Linked DNA regions of Cricetulus griseus. The protein of the gene in region 2 interacts with the protein of the main gene of each other region in a pairwise test. Links are inferred from orthologs where the notes say so. Each region holds a gene or a part of one and is shown on either strand. Other genes may lie near its edges. The genes, in order: Pex11b, Pex19 and Pex10.

Region 1 (7,454 bases), on a different chromosome or scaffold from region 2:
TGAATTCAGGCCATCAGGCTCACCCAGAAAGCACCTTTAACCTACTCAACCATCTCACTGGCATAATTATTTAACAACTGGCTTCCTACCTACACTGTAATGAGCCTTGGTTTCTTTTCTTTTTAAATGTATGTGTTTTATTTATTACTGTTATGTGTAGGGGTATGTATATGGGGCACACAAGTGCAATGGTCTACATATTGAAGTCAAAGAACAACTTTGTGGAGTGGGTCTTTTCTTCTACCATTACCTGGGCCCCAGGGATCCACTCAGATCGTCAAGTCTGCTTGCTTTTACTCATTGAGTCATCTCATTGCAGACCTTAAGTTTCATGGGTCAGGAACCACATTTGTTTGGCTTCTGCTTAATCTCCTGGTCCATAGTAAGAAACTAAGAAATAGTTTTGGAAAAGCCAAGCCCAGTAGTAATGGCACATGCTCATGGAGTCCCGGCTACTAGAATGGCTAAGGTAGGATTGTTTGAACCCAGGAATTCTGTACCAGCCTGAGTAATGAGACACCCCCATCTCTTTCATGTGTGTGGGTGCACACATTCGTGGGTATGTATGCACATGCGTGCACATGCATGTGAAGCCCAGAGTTCAACCTTGGGGTCACTCCTCAGGTGCTATCCATCTTGTTTTTTGAGACAGGATTTATCACTTGGCTTGAAACTTGCTCACTTTCTGGGCTGGCTGGCCAGAGAGCCTTAGGAATCCTCCTGATTATCTTCCATATTGCTGGGATTACAAGAGTGTATCACCATCCCTGGCTTATGTGTGTGTTGGGGGGCGTGTGTGTGCATGGGTGGGGTTCTGGGGATCAAACTCGGTCTTCATGCTTGTAGAACTGTGTTATCTCAGTCCTATGAGACCCCTATATCACCAAAGGAAAGGAAACTAGACATGCTAACTCATCTCTAATCCTGTCCTAAACTGGGGAGGGGGAGTCTAAAGCAGGAGAATCCTGAGTTCAAGGCTAAATTAGGCTATGTAGTGAGACCTATAATAACAATAACAATAACCTCAAAAACAACAACAAGATAAAACAAAAACTGAACAAACAAACAAACAAAAAAACTGGCAAGATGACCCAGCAGGGTAAAGGCTCCATTACCAAATGTGATGAACTGAGTTCAACCTTGAGATCCACATGGTGGAAGGAGAGAATCAGTCCTTGCAATCTGTCCCACACACACACACTGTGGCAATGCAACCTGCCCCATCACACACACTAATAATAAATAAAAATATTATTTTGTTTTTTTTTCAAGACAGAGTTTCTCGGTGTAGCTTTGGAGCCTATCCTGGCTCATACTCTATAGACCAGGCAGGCCTTGAACTCACAGAGATCTACCTTGCCTCTGCCTCCCAAGTGCTGGGTGTGTGCCACCACCACCCAGCTAATAAATAAAAATATTAAGAGAAAATGAATAAATGAGTAGGAAGGCAATGAGAGTAGACTATGGTTTAGACATAGTTAAAGTAATACAATATTTATCATCTCCAATCTCAGCCACTTATTATGGTATAGCAAATCTAACTTCCATCTGATAGTGTTACTCTTTTACGGTTTAAGATACAAGTGAAGATTGGAAACCAAATGGTCAATTAAGATAGCTATTTGTCACAGCACAGTGGCATGCAACTTTAGTTCCAGCACTTTGGAAGCAGAGTCAGGTAAATCTCTGTGAGTTCAAAGCCAAGATAGTCTATATAGTGAGTCAACCAGGGATATATAGTAAGACCCTGTCTCAAAAACAGACAAAAAATGAGTAATATATAGATAGTCCTTGCATCCATGGAAGATTAATTCTGGGATCCTACACTCAGCCCACTCACCCAAATTCTACCCAAATCCATAGCTGCTCAAATCCCTCAGATAAAATGGTATTGCATTTATATATAACCTACACAATCCTTTGTATCTACCTCCAGATATTTTAAAATATCTAATACAATAAATATGTAATGTAAAGAAATGTTATACTATACTGTTTAAGGAATAATGACACAAAACACTTTCACATGTTCAATTCAGATGCACTTTTCCCCTTGACATTTTCAATCTGTGGTTGCTTGAATCAAAAGATGTGTAAACAGCCGGTGTTGGTGAAACACCTTTAATCACAGCACTTGGGAGGCAGAGGCAGGCGGATCTCTGTGAGTTTCAGGCCAGCCTGGTCTCCAGAGTGAGTGCCAGGATACGCTCCAAAGATACACAGAGAAACCCTGTCTTGAAAAACAAAACAAAACAAAACAAAAACAACAACAACAACAAAAAAAAAGATGGGCGCCAGAAGAAGGGCGCCAGATCTCATTACAGATGGTTGTGACCCACCATGTTGTTGGAAATTGAACTCAGGACCTCTGGAAGGGCATGCAGGATTCTTAACCTCTGAGCCATCTCTTCAGCCCATTCTTTTTAAACACACACACACACACACACACACACACACACACACACACACACACACACATATATATGGGCTAGAGTGATGGTTTAGTGGGTAAAAGCACCCCTCTCTTCCCAAGGACCTGGGTTTTGATTCCCAGAACCCACATGACAGCTCACAACCATCTATAACTCCAATTCTGCTGCCCTCTTTTGGCCTCTGCCAGCACCAGGCACACAAATGGTGCACAGACATACATGCAGGCAAAACATCCATACACATAAAGTAAAATATTTAAATGTTGGGGTGTGTGTGTCTGTGTCTCTGTGTGTGTGTGTGTCTATGTGTGTGCAAGCTATAAGGAACGGAGGCCATAAATAGTTTTGTAGGAGAAAACAAAAATCAAACCTGAATGAACGCTGTGCCCACTTTTCCTGGTCCACACGGGGAGCTAGTCCGGACTTTCCAGCCCACAGAACATTGTCACAGGCAAAGTATAAGGCTCGATTGAGATGACTAACAGTGATGCAGAATCTCAGGACAACATCCGATAGGTGCACAGCTCTTTTGGCTGACTCAAGAGCATCTGCCGAGTTACCCAGGCGTAGCACTTGTGGAGAACAGGGGAAAGCAAGGGATTTGAAGTAAAGAAGCAAAGGTGGGGGTGGAGAAAAAAGTAAAGAAAGAAAAAAGTAAAAGTCGAGAAACAAGAATAACATACAATAAGGGTAAAAATAATTTGTTCTTTTTTAAAAATTCAAATTGTAATTAATTTTTGTCCCCAGTTTAGGTTTTTTTCACTTGCCCCATTCTCTCCAAGCCATGTGTGTACTTTCTTATACCTGTTGTCTTAACTCAGTTGGAGGCATGCAGAAGAGCCAAATGATGGCAAACTAGCAGAAAGGGAAAATACAGGAAGGAGAGGCAATGGGCTGATAGAAAGGTTTGTTTTACTTACGCTTTCTTCCAAGGCTCAGATGACCCTCCAGTTGTCGAATCTGTTTCTGCAATTCGGGACTGGCCCCATGTCTCTGCAAAGCATGTCCAAGAAGGGAACAGGCATACTGGGCAGCCCTGGAGGGGAGAACAGGAAAAGTAAGGGACAGGCCTCCCTAACCTCTCTGCCAAAAAATGCCCTCCAGCCGGATGGTGAGGCAGTTAAGAGCACTTGTTCTTGGAGAGGGCAACGGACCCGGTTGCATTCCCAGCACCCACATTGTGGCTCACAACCGTCTGTAACTCCAGTTTCCAGGGCATCTATCACCCTCTTCTGACCTCTGCAGGCACCAGATACACATGTGGTGCACATACAAACTTGCAGATAACATGCTCAGACAAATAGTAACCAATCTGAAAACAACAACTCCTCCGGGGACATTTCCTCCTTTTCACACCAATCTTTCCGTTTTTCCTCAAAGCCAGGGGGAAGGGAACGACATAAGGGGAAAATAAAGCCTATTGAGAAGGTGGAGATCACTATTTGGGGTTAGGAGAGTAAAACGGTGAGGCCTAAGCAGCCGGGATCCATCACAAGCGTCCACGCGCGAGTTTATATATGAAACACGGCAGAGAGCGATCTAGCTGAAGGGCGGATTATTCCTCCGGATAGGTGAACTAAGAGATTAAGGTCCTTGAACTGTATGGGACCCGAAGGAGAGCCGAGACAGCGCTGCTCCTAGGTGACAGCCGGTGAGAGGACGCAGAACCGGGAAGATCGCCCCTCATGCCACCAGGGCAGTGAGGAAACTGTTGCGCTTTGTGGACACGGTAACCCTGGACGGCCTCCCCGCTGGCCCACTCATGCCTCAGTTTCCCCATCTTTCCCGTGAGCAGGAATCATCTCACAACCGGCTACAGAGTGCGCCTCCCGGGCCGCGCAGGCCCCCGTAGCCACAGCTGACCCTTAGGGACCCCGTAGCGCGCCCGTCGCCTCGCGGGCACCTGCTCTGCCCTCCCGCCCGAGCTCCTCCGTCGGCCGCACCTACACAGCCGCTCCCGGGCTTGGCTCTGCGCGCTGAAGCGGACCCAGGCGTCCATGACAGCGGCAGCCCGGGCCCACGGCGCCGCAGCCCGCCCGCTTCCACCCCTAGTCACGCCTCCCGGGCGAGCAACGGGGCTTCGCGAGGGACAAACGGCGGCAGGAAAGCCAACCAGCGGGAGCCGGCCCTGTGGCGGAGTTTCAGGACGCGAAGCGAGATCGTGGCTGCATTTCCGGCACATCACCCCCTCCGGGAGGGTCTGCAGCCTCTAAGCACGCCCTCGGGAGCACATTCTGCTTTAACGTCTCAGCAGCAAGGGGCGGGGCCTGCGGGAGCTCGGAGGCGCTGTAGGGTGTCGGCCAAGGCAATCTATCTTATCCCTATCCCACTGTGGGCAATGAAGAGCCCAGGGCAGCAGAATCCTGTAGCCCAGACTAACGGTCCAAGGGAACGAGGGTGTGATGAGATCCCGTTTGGCAATTCCTCTCCCATAGATGATGAATAGTCCAGGGGCAGAATTAAGTGGACGGAATTCACAGGCTACCACATCTGCAGGCCCTGGCACACTTTCGGGGTCAGCAGTGGTGAAGGACGGTCTGGGCAAAATTACAGGAGTGGAAATAGGTCAGAGATGCCCACCTTCTCAGAGGTAGCAAGGTCCGAATGGGAGTGACCATTGTTGTGCTCTGCGTTACTCTGCTGGAAGAAACCTGGCTGTGCTGTGGTCAGCCGCACACCAGTGATGCAGCCAGCTCCATCCCTTCCCAGCTCCACTACTCTTGACTCATGAACCGTTGCCAACTTAACGGTCACTTCTGCGGTTATGCCCCTACATGTTTGTTACCTGAAATATTCTTGTCCATTGTATTTGGAGATGTCGCATGTTAGACCCCATGCCTCTAAAAACTAATTGCCATGTGGGTGGCCTTCCTGCCTTGAAGCTTTAACCCAGCGCTCAGGTGGAAGGTGTAGACAGTGTGTAAAAGAAATGTACCGGGGCAGGCACACACCGAGGGACAGACACCACACCACCTGGCTTCTTGCTTGCCTTAGGTGAGGTGTCAGGGCTGCAGGCTGGGCCATGGATCCTCAGAGAGGGAGCCTCTGCTCCCTCCTGGGAAGTTCATTTACATGCTAGACCTACATTTTGCTGGATGTGATGGCAAATACCTGTAACTCCAACACTTAGGAGGCAGAGACAGGAGACCATTGAAAGTTTAAAGAAAATTAATTTATCTATAGAGCTCCATTCAGTCCAGCCAGAGCTACACATTGAGACCCTGACTTTTTAAGAGAAGGGGCAGGTGCTGGCTTGGTAGTTAAAGAGTGCTTACTGCTCTTTCGATGCCCTGGGGTTCAATTCCCAACGTGCACATGGGTGCCCACAACTGTCTCTAACTTCAGTTGTAGATCTGATGCTCTCTTCTGGCCTCCATGGGCACCAGGAATGCATGTGATTCACACATGTACACATCAAGCTGACATTCATACATGGAAAATACAATTCTTTAAAAGCACTACCCTATTACATGCATCTGTCTCTTCCCTCAGGCTGGCTTTGCGGTGCTTGATTTCCACTCCGCATCCCTGTACCACCTCCTCTAGGATACTGGTGCAAAAAATTCCAGGGCAGAGAAAGGCAGGTCTATTAAGAATGACATTAGTGGGCATAGTCGCACACAACTTTAATCCCAGCCCTGGGGAGGCAGAGGCAGGTGGATCTCTGAGTTCAAGGCCAGCCTGGTCTACAGAGCTGGTTCCAGGATAGCCAGGGCTACACAGAGAAACCCTGTCTGAAAAGGAGAGAAGAAGGAAGGAAGGAAGGAAGGAAGTCTGGCTAGAGATGACTCAAAGAGTACTTATTCTTGGAGATGGCCCAGGTTCAATTAATTCTCAGCACACACATGATGGCTCACAACCATCTGTAACTCTAATTCCAGGGGACCTAACACCTCCTCTAACCTCAGTAGGTACCAGTTATGCACATGATACAAACATGTAAAGAAAAACACCATACACGTAATTTTTTTTTTAAGTCTGAAGCTTTGGGTTAAACTGTTTTTTATTCCATTCAAGAAATAATGTCCATGGGGCTGGAGAGATTGCTCAGAGATTATGAGCACTGACTGATCTTCCAGAGGTCCTGAGTTCAATTCCCAACAACTACATGGTGGCTCACAGTCATCTATAACAAGATCTGGCATGTAGGCATGAACAGTGTACATGTAATAAATACATTTAAAAAAAAAGAAAGAACGTCCATCAACTCTTGAGTATACTCCACTTTGACAGGTACTTAAGAGAACTGCCTGCTTGGTATGCCCAGCCACGTTAGGAGTTAAAGAGTGGAATGTCTATCTAATCTACTCTTGAAATCCAGGAAAACTCTGTAAAGACTAAGATGTAAAACAAGTGCATGTGGGTCTCACATGTTACTTCTAAAGTTGAGGATTAGAAAATGCGTGCAAGACGAAAGGTGGGCCAGGTTAGAGTCTGTGTTCGTCCTGAGGCAAGAACAGACACACTACAAGGTGGAGGGTGACATATTCAGCTTGTAAATTTTCATTAACTTGATACCTATTAAAATTAGACACTGTAGTGTATGCCTGCAATTCCAACACTCTGGAGACAGAGGTAGGAGGACCACTTCAAGGCCAGCCTAATCTGTGTCGTAAACTTCAGGTCCACAAAGAGTGATATAGCAAGACCCTGTCGCTAAAAGACTTAATCTCAAATCATAAAATATCAGAAATGTAACACAAGCCTGACTAACTGGTTTGCACCTATCTCAACAACCCAGCACTGGAGGGAAATGTAGTCAGTTAGCTGAGTTCCAGGCTAGCCTGATCTAATTAGTTTTAAGACCTTGCCTAAAAAGTAGCAGCAGCCACAGCAAAAGCTTGACATATATATATATATATATTTTTTTTTTTGGTTTTTTGAGACAGGGTTTCTCTGTGTAGCTTTGGAGCCTATCCTGGCACTCGCTCTGTAGACCAGGCTGGCCTCAAACTCACAGAGATCCACCTTTGACTTATAGTTCTAAGGCAGAAAAAAAAAATTACTGTTACAAACAAGGTC
Region 2 (7,454 bases):
TGTTTTGCTTGTTTTTTTTTTTTTTTTAGCTTTCTTGCTATAGCCTAAGCCCACCTGCCTAGAGATGGTACCACCCACAGTGGGCTATGCCCTTCCACATACACACAAACACACACACACTCCCCTAATTAAAAAATAGAAATAAAAATAAATCTTTTTAAAACAATATAAAAACTGCTCTTAGCTTGAGAGTTGGACTTAGGCTATACAAACACTGGTCTGCAGACTCCTGGTATTGCTACTCATTTCCTACTCAGTCACATGTTGCCCTGTGATGCTGAAGGGCTTCTATTTCTCTAGTGAAACTATAAGCTTTTTCAAGCAGGGACCATCATTTAAACTATTCTCAAATTGTTCATAACAACACCACAAAATCCTGTGAATCCTTACTGGAGAAATTAACAAAGTTAAGAAATACAAGAAGGGTCCAGGCCTTTAATTCCCAGCACTTTGGAGGCAGAGGCAGGTGGATCTCACTGAGTTTGAGCCCAGCCTGGTGTACATACAAGACAGCCAGGACAGAGAAACCCTGTCTTGAGGAGAAAAAAAGGAAGGAAGGAAAGAAAGAAAGAAAGAAAGAAAGAAAGAAAGAAAGAAAGACAAGAAGAAGGAATGGATCAGTCAAACTCAGAGTCTTGAACTAATTTAGAGAAAACTAAAGTGAAGAAATTACCCCTTCTAGCTCAGACACTCCCAGTGGGGAAAAATGATCAGATCACCTATGTACCTTTATTCCCTCAATAACTTCTTCTACTTCCGACAAAGAGGAGTTTAAAAGAATGCACTTGTACACTCAAATTGCCCTTTTACTATGCATTGTCTGAGCAGAGTGGCCCACGGTTGACATAATGAAGTGAGGAGAAAAGGCAGAAGTGGAAACTCACACACCTTTTCCGTGATCTCCTTCAGGGACGGGTACAGTACATCCTTAGACAGGAGGTTCTGCATGATGCTCTGCATGATGGGGAGGATGTTCCCATCCCCGTCCCCGTCATCCATGCCCAGCCCTTCCATGGCTTTGGTCAGTTCCTCTTCAGACATGCCTGAGTTCTAGACAAGACAAAAGAGAGGCCAACAGGTTACACTGCCTTCCTGGAATGCTTACCACTCTTTTAGGTTCAAAGAACTATCTAGATGTGCCTGTAACAAAAATCAAGGCAGGGTCAGATTTGAGGAGATACCCTAGAGCATCTACTTTGTGAGACTGCTCAGGAAGCATCTGGGAGTGGACCCCTATTCCTTCCCTTTACCTGAAGGTCAGTGGCATTTTTGGCTAGCCCACTTAATGTCTCCTTTAGGCAAGAAGTAAATTCTTGTTGAGAGTTTGCATCACTGCCTAGGAGAAATGAAAAGAACCAGGATTACCTAGGAGTTTAATTGTCAGCTTGTCTAGACTGACCTACTTACCAGCTTGGATATAAAGCATTTACTAGCAAACTACTAATACATCAAAATCTTACCTATTCTTTTTGGTCACCTTCATGGTCATGCCATAAATCTATATAGATTATGTGCTAATTGTTCTGCACAGTAACACTCACAACACTGTCTTTTCAAAGGGCTAGTTTGGGATAATCTTATTTATTTATTTATTTACTTTGGGGGGGGGAGGGGGGTTGAGACAGGGTTTCTCTGTGTAGCTTTGGTGCCTGACCTGGAACTAGCTCTTGTAGACCAGGCTGATCTCAAACTCAGAGATCCACCTGCCTCTGTCTCCTGAGTACTGGGATTAAAGGTGTGTGCCACCAATGCCCCGCTATTTACTTTTAAGACAAGGTCTTACTATGTAGGTCTAGCTGTCCTGGAACTCAATATGTAGATCATAGTGAGTTCCTCAAACTCACAGAGATCCATTTGCCTCTGCCTCCCATAGATTAAAGGAACATGCTACTACACCTGGTTGAAATAATCTTTTTTTTTTAATTATTTTCCAAAATATCTTAACCTTTTCTTACAGTAAGCAAGATCTGATTCCCACACTTGTTTTTCTTGCCTTGCTCCACTCCATGGCTGTAACATTATAATCAATGTTATCAATGTTACAATCCTGGTATTCTAGAGCAATAAAGAGGTCTGTCCAGTATATTTTGTTTGGGGTTTCCTCACCCACTCTCCCAGCTGCCTCTGAGAGCTTCTGGAACTGTTCCACCAGGTGGGGCTCTTCTTCAGCCAGCTCCTTCATTGCCTTCTCAAACTCTGCAGTGGCTTGGGAAGCCAACTCACTATCGAACAGTTCCTGGAAAAACTTCTCTTGGGAGGCGAAGAGGGCATCCTGCAGTGGAGAGGTGGACAAAATTCATCTCTTACAGCACCACCCTGAGTCTAGCCCTCTATGGGAGCTCAGGTAGTGGGCTTGGAAAATGAAACATCAGCCCCACAGACACCTCCACTGAACATTCTATCTGCCTCTTCTTCTCGGGAGGGCAGCAAGCAAAGAATCTGGACACTGAAGGAATAGTGTGAGGTAGCATACAAATCCAATCACTAAAAACTGCTCTTTTCTCAAAGTGCTTCTTTGCTACCCCTCAGTACAACCCCAGGTCCTTGTTTCACAGGAGCTGAGGCCTGGAAGAACACCCAGCAGTTCCAGGCAAAGGCATCCTCCCACCCACCCTTCTGGCCCATAGGGGCCTGCCCCACCCCTGCTCTGATTTGCATGCCCATCCCCCCTCCCTTAAGGGGGTGGGATTTATACTTTGGCAGTGTCTCCTGGCGATTTCTTCTGGGGTCCTGAAGCATCGGGGGCCGAGGTGGTAGGAGGGGGTGCTGGGGAGGGTTTGGCTTTATCGAAATCATCAAGAGCACCTTTGGAAACAAGAGACATGGTGGGTATGTTGGGGATAGATAAGGCTAGCAAGCTGCAATTCTGAGCAAACTGTCAGGAACATAATCATATAGAGTGCCAGCTTCCTTGAACTCCCCTCTTTTCCTGGTGTCTCCCCTGCCTGGTCCACTGACCAACAAACAGGTTTCCCACATTCCTTGGGAATCATCTAACTTATTATGAATAGCTGGCAAGAAAGAAAACCCTTTACATAAAGCCAGTGTTCATCTTAGAACTAGGGAGAAAGGATGAAATAAGCTGCGCAGAGAGAAATCTCTATATGCATGCTATAAAATTCCCTAAAACCACACACAGTTATCTAACATGAAGAGAGGGAGAGATACTTATTTCTTTGAACCCACTCTGAGGCATTAACGGCAATATCCTCTTGTAAGAAAGCACAGGGTATCCCACCCAACTCTCCATGGGCCCTACTACTCGTACAAACTCCACCCGTCCTACAGGAGGGTAGTAAGCTCTGAAGTTATGTTCAATTCAGCAGGCACCTACAGCTACTCCCCTTGGCCTTATAAGCAGTAACCCTGGGCCAATGGAGTCACTTGCCACGCCTCATTAAATCTGTTCATTCTCTCCCTGCCTAGGTCGTTGTGACTGAGCAACAGATAAAAGGTTCACCTCTGCCCTGAAAAGCCTGTGTTGTCACCACCACTCTGCTTGCCAGGACTAGTGAAAGGGCACCGGCCTCACTCTGGGCAGGAAACCAGGGTGGAGGGCAAGAGTAACAAACATCCACCATCACTTCAGGAAGATGAAATGTTTCCCCCTGGGATTGGCTCACTGTCAGTTTCTCCAAAAGGATGAAAAAGGATGTCAGGCATGCTGGCATGGAGAGGCAGGGGCCGGGAAAATCACAAGTTCAAGGCCATCTCTGAGTCTGAGGCCAGCCTAGACGACACGAGACAGTCTCTCAAACCAACAATAATTTTCGAAGTAGTCTCCTTGAACTACTTACACAAAAGAACCAAGGGCCTGGTAAAGAATGAGGAAAGACTGTGAGGTAAAAGGAGTTAGGAAAGACACTTTTGGGTTAAGAAAGAGACTACGACGGACATAAGGACCCTTGGAGTTACTCTGTTCTGTGAAGGTTGCTACTGACAGGGGAGGAGATTTCAATAATTCACTAAAGCCGGTCCTGGCGGTTGCAGCCTGTAATCTCAGCACTCCCATAGGCTGAGGCACGAAGACGGTCGCGAGTTCAAAGCCAGCCTCAAAAACAATCCGACACTCTAAAGCAAGACCAGTTTTGGCGGGGGTGGGGGTGTCCGCAGAGAGATTTGAGGTCTGGACTGATCAGTGACCAAGGCGAACACACAGCTCCCGCTGAGGCGGAGGGCCGGCCGGGGTCGAAGTCAGACCACCTCCCCCGCCAACCACTGGAGAGATTCCCCCGCTCCGCCCCAAATCTCAAGTTCCCTTAACCCCGCAGAGGGTCCTCGCCCCCGACCCCTCTGGCCTTCCCGCCACGGGCTCTTACTTTCCAGAAGCTCCTCCAGTTCCCGGTCCGCTTCGACCCCAGCATCGCAACCTTCCTCAGCGGCCGCCATCTTGCTGCCTCCGACTTGCCGTAGGAGGTGGAACCACTGGCGCCACCACACGTCCCGCCCCTAACCCCGCCCCTGTGACTTTGTGCAGCCAATGATATCGCTCTACTGTGCAGGACCGCCATTTTTAAAGGGACAGGAAACCGTGGCTTTCGTTGGTTGTTGTTGTTTTTATTTTTCTTCTGAGAAGCAACCTCGGTCCTCGCACGAACTAAGCCAGCACTCCACCCCCGGAGCTACAGCCACGGCGGTTGGACTTGAACTAGATCTGTTGCGCAGGCTGGTCTAGAAATCGGGCGCCTCCCGCCTCCATTTCCCAAATGCCCGACCCACCAGGCCCAGCTTGAGGTGGGGGCCGGGCTGAGGGGCTGAAGAGGCGAGAGGATCTGTTTGTTAACTTTCCCTTTCGTCCGGAGAGGTTTTGTTTTCAGGCAGGTTCTTCTTGTCCTACTGCCTCCTCCTCCAGAAGGAAGAGATTACACCACAAGATTTAGCTAAACCCGGAGCTAAAAAACTCCCGGTAACGTGCATTTTTTTTTTTAAGGCTAAAAACAGAATTGTCAAATTGAGGCAATTTCAAAGCCTGCATGGTAGGGGAGATTTTTTGTTTGTTTGTTTTCAAGACAGGGTTTCTCTGTGTAGCCCTGGCTGTCCTGGGACTCGCTCTGTAGACCAGGCTGGCCTCGAACTCACAGAGATTCACCTGCCTCTGCTGTGCTGGGATTAAAGGTGTGTGCCACCCCCCCACCCTTAGGAGAGACTTCTACCCATGCCCTGGACTCTGACCTCCACATGTGCTCCTTGACACAAAACAGATAGATAAACAAAATAATGATTGCCAAATCTATTTTTAGCACGTAGTGAGCATCTACAGTTGTATACAATCTTATGCTAGGCACAATGAAATATACAAATAAATCCGAGTTGGTCCTGCCTGTAAGGGCTGACTGGAGGTAGAATTGGAAACACAGTTAATAGAATTCAGACAGACTCAAACACAAACATAATTCTTTCTCTGCATTATTTCCTTCTCTGTTGTGTGTGCATTTGTTTTGTTTTACCGAGACAGGGTTTCTCCGTGTAGCCCTAGCTGTCCTGGAACTCACTCTGTAGAACCAGGCTGTCTTCAAACTCAGAAATCACCCTGCATGTGCCTTCAGAGTGCTGGAACTAAAGACGTGTGCTACCACGCCCGCTCTGCTTTCTATTCCTCCTTCTGATAGTCCTAACATCCTACCGCAATGTAACTCACCCCTCACTGCTCTTTCTGACTTCCTAATACATAGTGAATACTGACAAAACCGTATTTCATAGTACCCCCTCTCCTTTCTTGCTTGAAGAGGCTCATTTAGCTCAGGCTGACCTAGATCCTCATCCTGTTGCCTACACACCCCAAGTACCAGTATTACAGATACTCACTGCCATGCCCTATTCTGCTCATATATTTTTTTTAAGATTTTATTTATTATGTATACAACATTCTGCTTCTATGTACATCTGCACACCAGGAGAGGGCACCAGATCTCATAACGGATGGTTGTGAGCCACCATGTGGTTGCTGGGAATTGAACTCAGGACCTCTGGAAGAGCAGTCAGTGCTCTTAACCTCTGAGGCATCTCTCCAGCCCCTCTGCTCATATTTTTTTCATACTGTTTAAGGACTTAATGGCTCTCCACTGCTTATGATTAACTTCAGACTTTTGACTGATAGAATTATTTCATATATATCCATTCTTCTTTCCCAAGTTAGGTAAGTGACAAGAAGCAGAGATTATCAACTGGGTTCACAATACTTACTTTAGAATGTTTGTGTACAGTTTTGTGATTTAATTTGTAAACTTACAAAAAAAAAGACCCTTATTTTTAGACAGGGTCTCACTATGTAGCACTGGCTGGCCTAGAACTTAAAAGATCATCCTGCCAAGACTTAAAAAATATTTTTAATTATTTAAAATTGTGTGTGCGCACATACGCATTTGGGTGTGTGTTTGTGAGTGCACTTCCTGTTAGGAGCAAGAGGTGACAAATCCCTCTGGAGCTAAGAGTTATAGGTGGTTATGAGCCACCAGGTGTGGATGATGGGAACTGAACTCTAGTCCTCTGCTAAGCCATTTCTGTAACCCCCAAGATGTCGTTCTTGAGACGGTCTCACTCTTTAGCCAAGGCTAGCCTTGAATGTGAGACAATTGTTCCGCCTCAGCCTTCCAAGAATTTTAATTATAGGTGTAAGCCACCATGCCTGATTCTTGCCTGTACTTGCAGGAAGGATGTTTAAAACTTGAGAAAATATTTTTATAGTATACAGGTTTTTGAGAAAGCAGCCTTAGTTTGAGGATTATATTTAAGACAGCAACTCTTAGATCTGACAACATAAAAGTCCTGTGATCTTTGAAGCAGGTATTCCTTTTGTAGTTCAGCCTCAGGGATACTTTCCCCACCCATACAATGTGTGTTCAAGTTTATTTATTGCAACAACGCTGATAATTGCAAAAGACTGCATAACCCAGATACTATAGACACTTTCATAACTTAAAATATGCAGTGAAAAAACTAGTATGTATACTAGTTTTAAAGCAAAATGTTCAAGACCTGTCTCAGAAATAACACAAAGAACCTGGTACACACTTTGCACATCTTTTCCCCAGTGGATATAGATAGCTCAGTAGTAGAATGCTTGCCTGTCATGTGCAAAACCCTGGGTTCAATTCCAGTCACTAAACAAAATTTCTGCATCTATCTAGTTTTTGAGAACGGTGTGTGCTACCCTATGTAGTGCTAGGAACTAAGTCCAGGACCCTGTACATACTAAGCCAGCACTCTACAATGGAGCTACATCTCCAGCTGTGTGCTTGTGTGGATCTACACGTGGGGTTGTGCATGGGAGCGCAGGTGCCTGTGAAGGCTCAAAACCCTGGCTCTCCTGGAGCTGGAGTTACTGGTGATAGAAACTGAACCTGGGCCCCCTGGAAGAACTATGCTTGCTCTTAACTGCCGAGCCACATGTTAGCCTATTTTGTTGTTTTTGAGATAGGGTAGTCCAGGCAGGCCCTGAAATACCCGGAGTTATC
Region 3 (7,454 bases), on a different chromosome or scaffold from region 2:
TGATGGGTGAGATGACCCACCTGTAATTTCACCCTTGTAAGGCAGTCACTGGGGATTCCCAGAGCAAGCTAAGTAACAAGACTAGACATATGGGCAAGCTCTGGGTTTGACTGAAAGACCCTGTTCCAATGAATACAGTGGAAGAGCAATCCAGAGTGATGCCAGATATCCTGCACCAGCACCACCACCTCACACACACACACACACACACACACACACACACACACACACCACGCATACACATTACACACACATACACATCACACACACATACATACACATATATATACACACACATACACAATACACATCACACACACACACACACACACCACACGCATATACACACACATACACATTACACACACACCAAACACACACACACACACACCACACGCATATACACACACATACACATTACACACACACACACACACATATACACAAACATACACATCACACACACATACACACACATACATACACACACACATCAACACGCATATACACACACATACACATTACACACCACACACACACATACACACATCACACACATCATACATATGCCCATGCATATGCAAACATGCATACATACATATGCATATAACACACACGGTAAATTTAATTATTTAATAAAATTAGAAAACAAAGTGGCCAGAGCTAGCATTCCTGGCAAAGAACATCAGGCAAGACAACAAAATACCCAGTGTATGAAGAATATAGAAGTTGTGAAGGGCCTAGGCCTGGCCCAGGATGATGTGGTAGACTTTGGGGAATCCCTTTTGAGGGCCTTACCCTGCCTGGGGAGTGTAGGGGGGATGGCTAGGGGCAGGTGGGATGTTGGGGGGAGGAGAGGGAGAGGGGGAAGGGATTGACATCTGAAGCAAGCTTGTTCCTAATTTGAACTAATAAAATAAATAAAATAACATATTAATAATAACTAAAAAAAAAAGAAGAAGAAGAAGTTGTTGAGGGGCAAAACTGTGAACACTGCTCCTAGGATGGCTGACCTTTGCCCCAGAAGCTCCTGTGTTAGAAGAGATGCAGAACTGTATCCTGTCCCAGATCCATGACCCACCTGCATCTCTAAGCCCAGACAATGCAAGTGCTCAGCGCTAGCATGGTGGGCTCTCAACACCAGCTCTCAACACCACCATTATTCCTGAGCTACAGACCGGAAAGCCGAGACCCACCAAGTGAAGGAATGTGCAGGACACACATTGTCCCTTGTTGATGGCACCCTGGTACTGGGCTAGTGGGGGGGGGGGCGGCAAGTCAAAGGCCAGTCCAAAATCGCTCCAGTGCAGTGTCCCCAGGGACCCCCACTACAATTGATAACAGGGAATGACACTTGGTTCAGGGATTGGGGTGGCCCTCAAGGAGCCCAGAGGTGAGTCAAAGCCAGACTAGACCTGTCAACCACTTTGACCCACACCTCTGGTGCCTTCCCTAAAAGCCTCAGGAGCCTGGTCTTCCTGTCCTCCATTCTTGGAGCAGAGGAAAAAGTTTACAAGGAGCTAGTCACAAGGCTCAGGCCCAGGACCCCTGTGCTTCAGGCAAAGAGTGATCAAAGGCAGGTGACAAGGGGCATATCCTGTCCCCTAGAGAGAACTCTCACTCTACCACCACGTCAGAGTACTTAAACCCCGGAACACTGAAAAGCAAAGAGGGCCCCCAGGCCATATGGTCACCTGGGAACCCGGAGAATTGATTTAGAATGATGGCACTACTCTTCCTGCCCATCCACTTCCTCTCCTTGCTGAAGGGCCACTTGTTTCCTAACCTGTGCTGGATGTCTCTGGGGTAATAGTCCCTAGCTACCCAAGCTGGTAGAAGAGATGGGCCGATGGCACCACCTGCTGGCCTTCCTGTGGTTTGTCCCTTAAGAAGAACCCTAGGAGTGGGTGGGTGTCTTATGTGCAACAACCAACAAACGGGGGAGGGCCCTGAGGGTCAAGACACCTGTCAACAGCTGAGACGAGGTCTGTGGTTGGGAATTTGAGCCCATGGAGAGAGGCACAAGCATCTCCCAGGGAACAGATACTTGGGATACCGTTTCTGGTCTTGCTCCCCACGGTTGAGAGAAGAGAATCCAGAAAAGCAGCAGTCCATGAGGGGACACGCGGAGCAGGCCATACCTCATAGTTATGCTAGAACCGAGCTTCTGAGTTTGAAGACAAGAAAGTTTCCTAGGGACACAAGCAGCCTTGGGCCTTCGAGGAACCGGCATTTCAAACTGTTGTATTTGATTCTGCGAGAAGCTTGTGCCTCTGCCTGAGACGTGCCTGCCTCCTGGCAGTGGTCAACGGTATTGTCCGGGGCTGTCCAACCCAAGCCGAGGAAACCGGGGCATGGGCAGCCGGAGGAGACTATCACACGACTGTCCTAAAAGTGTCCACTCCTACAGGCCCAGAGACATGTACCTCCTGCCAAAAGAACTGAACGTGAATCAAGCCAAGGGCAAATCTGCGGGGCTGCGGGGCTGAGCTCTCTCAGGGTCCCGCCCGCCAAGAACCAACATCCTTCTCGATATTGGCTATTCCACTACGTGGCTCCGCCCCCCAAGCACAGACACCACCCCCTTCTGCGTGGCTCCGCCTTAGGCCCCGCCCCCGATCCCTGCCTCTCCGGTAGGTTGCCCGCCTTTCAGGATGTCGCGCTTAGGCCCCGCCTTCCTCCGCGTGATGGTCACAGCCTGCGCCGCACGACCGAGGCACGTCGAGCGTCACAGGCCCCGCCCATTGGGCGCGCCGGCGCGGTGTGAGCTCCCCAACTCGGGCCATGGCGCTGGCAGGTGCACCTGAAGTGATCCGGGCGGCGCAGAAGGACGATTACTACCTGGGAGGCCTGCGGAGCGCGGCGGGCAGCGCGCTGCACAGCCTAGCGGGTAAGCGCCCCAGGCTCCTTAGGAAAGCGAGGATCAAAACAGACTTACTCACTGCAGAACACTGCAGGTCTCTGCGCCAGGCAGCGCCTGCTTAGTGTTCTCAAACGTTTGCCCACTGACTTCTCATACGGCCCTACAGGTTGGACCTAACGTTATTACTCTTACAGGGAGGCCTGTGCATGTTTTCAGAAAGATCTCACAGGCAGGGATTTGAGAGAGCCGAGATTTGATAATAACCAGGTGATCGATCTCTGGCTTGTGTTCTTGGCACTACCTAGACTTTCCTGAGGGCTCCTAAGTTCTAGGACAGTTCCTGACTCAAGACACTTACACTGAGAGGTTCTTAGGAAGTAGCCTTCCCTCGGAGTCATTCACATCAACCCAGTGGGGAGAGTGGACAGGGCAGGGAAGCAGAGGAGCCTGAGAGAGCGAGTATTGGAGGATCGCCCTAGAAGAGGAGGGATTTGACCTGGACTTAAAGCCACCCCCCAACCTGGGTATCGGGGAGAGAATCTTATTGAACCCACTTCGCATCCCTAGAGGTAATGTTTTTCTCCTCTCAGGTGCAAAGAAATGGCTGGAATGGAGGAAAGAGATCGAACTGCTCTCAGACATAGCCTACTTTGGCCTCACAACAATTGCAGGTAGCAGTACTTGGCAGGTCCTTGGCACTGAGGGGCCCACAATCCACCCAACCCTCTGAGCAGCTCCTGGAATTCACCTACATGTAGCCTCAGGGAAGAAAGACCCTGACCAGACAAGAGGCTAGCACTCAGCCCTCAGCCAGGAGGACCTTGATCCAGGACATCCTACTCCCCCACCCCCAGGGGGAGTACCTAATCCAGGGCCTTGTGCTTGATAGACAAGGCAAGCTCTACCACTGAGCTAAATTCCCAACCCCAGGACCCACTTCTCAGTGGCAAAAGGCAAGTCAGTACAGACCCATCACATAGTGACCAATTAAACCTCTGTGTAGTCCTTTAGAATGAAACCATAGTAAGGGCCTCAGGTCACCAGTGCCAGCTCAAAATCCAGCAAGGAATGATGGAGATGCCACGAGACAGATGCCAGGAGAGGTCACTGTGGGTAACCTGCCCCCGCTGACTACACTCTGGGTGGTGGGAGACACAGAAAGCACCAAGTATCCACACTGTAAGGAATCCTGAAAAGTGTCGAGCTCTTCAGGGCAAAACACCAAGTCTGGAGGGGAAAGCATTTTCTGGTCAGACAAAGAAAGTAGCCAGGCACTCTCAGGAGACAGGCCTTCACCTTTTATGAGGCATTGCAAAATACAGATAAGGGAAGGGGATAACTGCAGGCCATGATCAGACAGACACGCTGGGGGCAGAGGTTGATACAAACGGTCATGGTGGAAAGAGTAGTTCAAGGTACACCACGGGTCTGGCTTTGCCTTCTGCAGGGTGCAAGAAAACAAGACTTTCCCAAGTTGGACAACTAGAAGCTAGCTTTTGGCAGGGGTAGGCTTGAGGGTGTTTTATCTGACTCCTTGTGAAACTGTCAGGTAAGCAGCTGACCTTTCACCTCATACTTAGGACTGAACCAGATCCACACTGAGCCATAGTCTGGAAGGCAGGAAGCCACAAGATTGGATCCCATCACTTGGATAAGGGATAGGGGTTAGGCAGAGGAGGGACTGGAAACTGGGCACAAATCAAGACTGAGGAGCACAGGAACCGACAGGGGAAGCAAGGACCTATCTTAGAGTGGCATCATGGGGTCACAGAAAGACCACAGTGGCTCTAACAAGAAGTCATGTTGACCTTGGCTAGGTCTCACGGTGATAGCCTGGAAGGACAGGTTCTGGGGTGACTGCTGATGCTTGAAGGGCGGGGAGGGGGTAGGCTGGTCTAGAAGCTTGTCCCTGCATTTGGACCCTCACCACTGTGTATTGATCCTCAGGCTACCAGACACTTGGAGAGGAGTATGTTGGGATCATCCAAGTGGACCCATCCCAGCAGCATGTGCCCTCCAGGCTCCGCCGTGGAGTGCTGGTTGCACTCCATGCTGTCTTGCCCTACCTGCTAGATAAAGCACTGCTGCCCCTAGAGCAGGAACTGCAAGCCGATGGTGACGGTACACGGGCTTCACAGGGAAGTCTACTACCTGGAGGACGAAGTCGGTCAGGGGCAAGGCGCTGGGTGCGTCACCATGCCGCCACCCTGTCTGAACAGCAAAGGAGGACGCTCCAACGGACAATCTTTATCCTTAGACAGGGCCTTGCCTGCCTCCATCGGTTCCATGTTGCTTGGTTTTATATCCATGGTGCCTTCTACCACCTGGCCAAGAGGCTAGCAGGGATCAGTTATGTAAGTAGCCATGCCAAGGGGAACTGATTATGGGCTGGGGCCCTCTGGGAAGCCTCTTTGGGACCCATGCTGATGGCACGATCACAGCCAAGTGTTGTTTCCAAGTTGGAACTGAAACCCTGTACTTGGGAAACAGCAGTTTGTTCAGCTTTATTTTCCTAAAAGTTCCAGGGAAGTGCAGTTTCCACAAAGTGCAGCGTGTGTGCGGCAACAGAGCCAGGCACTGACTTAAGTCTAACCCCACAGCAGTTTTCACACTATTGGCCTGTGGCTGGCTATGTCCATTTCACTGCCTAGGGGGATGAGCACCTATTCCAAGGGGTGTCAAGTACAGGTTCTAGCCCAGAGCTTGGCCTTTCCCGTTCATCCCTGCCTACAGCAGCGCTACCAGAAAGGCAAGGTCTTGGGGCTTGGTCTAAGAAATATTCCTGCAGTGGCCCACAGTAAGCACATCACCATTTCACACCACAGGCCACAGGCCACAGACCTTGGTCAGTAGTAAACCTGGTTGTTGCGTCTGGCTGCCTCTCACCTTTTCAAACCCTAGCTTTCTACCAATGCCCTTGCATACTGTCACCCCCCAAAACCTCCTCTTAGGTATTAACTCCATGCCCACCACCCACTAGAGCTGTTCAAAGTTCCTGTCAGAGGGGACCACATGCCATTTCCTCCAGTCAAATTACCCCTCCTACACACCCTCATCAGAGAACCATAGTCTGGCCTCAGGTTTAACCTCAGTACTGCCAGACAAGGGGTTATCCAACAAAATCTCCCCAGCAGTCACTTAGTTGAGCAGCTGTGCCTCCCTCCCCAATGTCAGGCTGCTGAATGTTAGACTCTGGGTTTGTGACAGAGCCTGCTATCCTGTGAGCCCGAGGTATCAGGTGCCCTGGTGTCTTCATAAGAAGGGACAGGAAATGGAAGACAGCAGGGTTCTGTTGTGATGTGGATGGGAGTTAGATCACTAGCTACAGCAGAGGCAAGGACAGGATCCTGTCACAGAGGACTCAGTAAAAGGAACAGCATCTGCTCGTCCAGGTTCCCCTCACTATTCCCCATTCTACTCTTCCCCAGGCTCCTCCTCTTCCTCTGAAGTGGTCCCCAAACAGCTCTAGAATCCTCACCCATTTTCCTGACCCATCTAAGCCTCCTGGCTCAGTTCTGGTCTAATGCCTAAAGATCAACCTATAATTTGGGTTCTCCCTCACTACTTAATTCTTGAACATATCTCCCTGGTTGGTTCTTGTTTTCTGAACACTCCCAGTGCCAAGGGGAGGCCTGGCTGAACACAAAACCCCTAGCAGACAAGAGGCCAGGTCCTAGGGGGATCCTGATGGCGTCGGGGTTGGGGGGTTACCTGTTTTAACAGCTCCGAACTCGCCGCTTGCCTGGAGAGGACCTGAGAGCTCGTACAAGCTACCGACTGCTGGGACTCATCTCCCTGTTACATCTGGCACTGTCCATGGGACTGCAGTTGTATAGCTTCAGGCAGAAGCAGCGAGCCAGGAAGGAGTGGAGGCTGCACCGCAACCTGTCCCACCGCAGGTGTGCAGGGGGCCTGAGGTGCTTTGGCATGCCCTGAGATTGTGAAAGACGCACTCACCTGAGTTGTGTCCTCACCCACTCCCATAGGAGTTCCCTGGAAGACAGAGCTGTTTGCAGAGCCCCACTATGCACCCTATGCTTGGAGGAACGAAGACACTCCACGGCTACTCCTTGTGGCCACCTTTTCTGCTGGGAATGCATTACTGAGTGGTGCAACACTAAGGTATGTATGCAAGTATGCTACCCCACCTCCCAAACCTATCTTGAATTGGGGGTGGAGAAGTGATTGAATTGGGGGTGTTAAAATGGATGAACCATCCTTGAAGTTGAAGTTCCCAGTCAGAGGGAAGCTTCCCCTTTTGAGGTTTGACTGAATATGCAGGTGAATGGTAGCTGTTAGGTGCACAGATCGAGCTACACTTAGCCACAGGTTTGCCTTGCTTCCTGGTGTGCTCAGCACACTTAGGATGCTAGTGCATGTACACACACCAAGCTGTCCCTGTGTGCTTTGAACGGTTTTCGGCAGGACAGGAGCCCAAAGCACACTGCTTCTTGTAAGCAGCAGGGCCCTGGTTGGCCTGTCTCGCCAGTGAGCTGTTGCCCTGGCTAAAAGCTGAGACTACAAGCAAGAAGGAACTTTATGTGGCTACAGCCCTGCTGTTAAGAAGTAGCATCCTGGGAGGCAGTACAGA

What was found.
Region 1: the proteins of Pex19 (region 2) and Pex11b interact in binary tests that used the Homo sapiens proteins (3 or more experiments, as listed by UniProt). The link is inferred for Cricetulus griseus from reciprocal best matches to the Homo sapiens genes PEX19 and PEX11B.
Region 3: the proteins of Pex19 (region 2) and Pex10 interact in a two-hybrid assay, tested with the Homo sapiens proteins (4 studies listed by BioGRID and IntAct, with this or other methods). The link is inferred for Cricetulus griseus from reciprocal best matches to the Homo sapiens genes PEX19 and PEX10.

Annotation. Positions count from the first base shown.
Region 1 is NW_023276806.1:59,861,930-59,869,383, forward strand, and holds the start of Pex11b (peroxisomal membrane protein 11B), read right to left. Parts: upstream 4,638-7,454; 5' UTR 4,615-4,637; coding exon 4,376-4,614; intron 3,469-4,375; coding exon 3,353-3,468; intron 3,005-3,352; coding exon 2,803-3,004; intron 1-2,802. UniProt on the Homo sapiens protein: Involved in peroxisomal proliferation. May regulate peroxisome division by recruiting the dynamin-related GTPase DNM1L to the peroxisomal membrane. Promotes membrane protrusion and elongation on the peroxisomal surface.
Region 2 is NC_048598.1:20,720,758-20,728,211, forward strand, and holds the start of Pex19 (peroxisomal biogenesis factor 19), read right to left. Parts: upstream 4,395-7,454; 5' UTR 4,390-4,394; coding exon 4,320-4,389; intron 2,806-4,319; coding exon 2,696-2,805; intron 2,273-2,695; coding exon 2,107-2,272; intron 1,337-2,106; coding exon 1,251-1,336; intron 1,051-1,250; coding exon 889-1,050; intron 1-888. UniProt on the Homo sapiens protein: Necessary for early peroxisomal biogenesis. Acts both as a cytosolic chaperone and as an import receptor for peroxisomal membrane proteins (PMPs).
Region 3 is NC_048595.1:1,246,279-1,253,732, reverse strand, and holds the start of Pex10 (peroxisome biogenesis factor 10), read left to right. Parts: upstream 1-2,731; 5' UTR 2,732-2,784; coding exon 2,785-2,890; intron 2,891-3,453; coding exon 3,454-3,534; intron 3,535-4,810; coding exon 4,811-5,217; intron 5,218-6,586; coding exon 6,587-6,762; intron 6,763-6,849; coding exon 6,850-6,985; intron 6,986-7,454.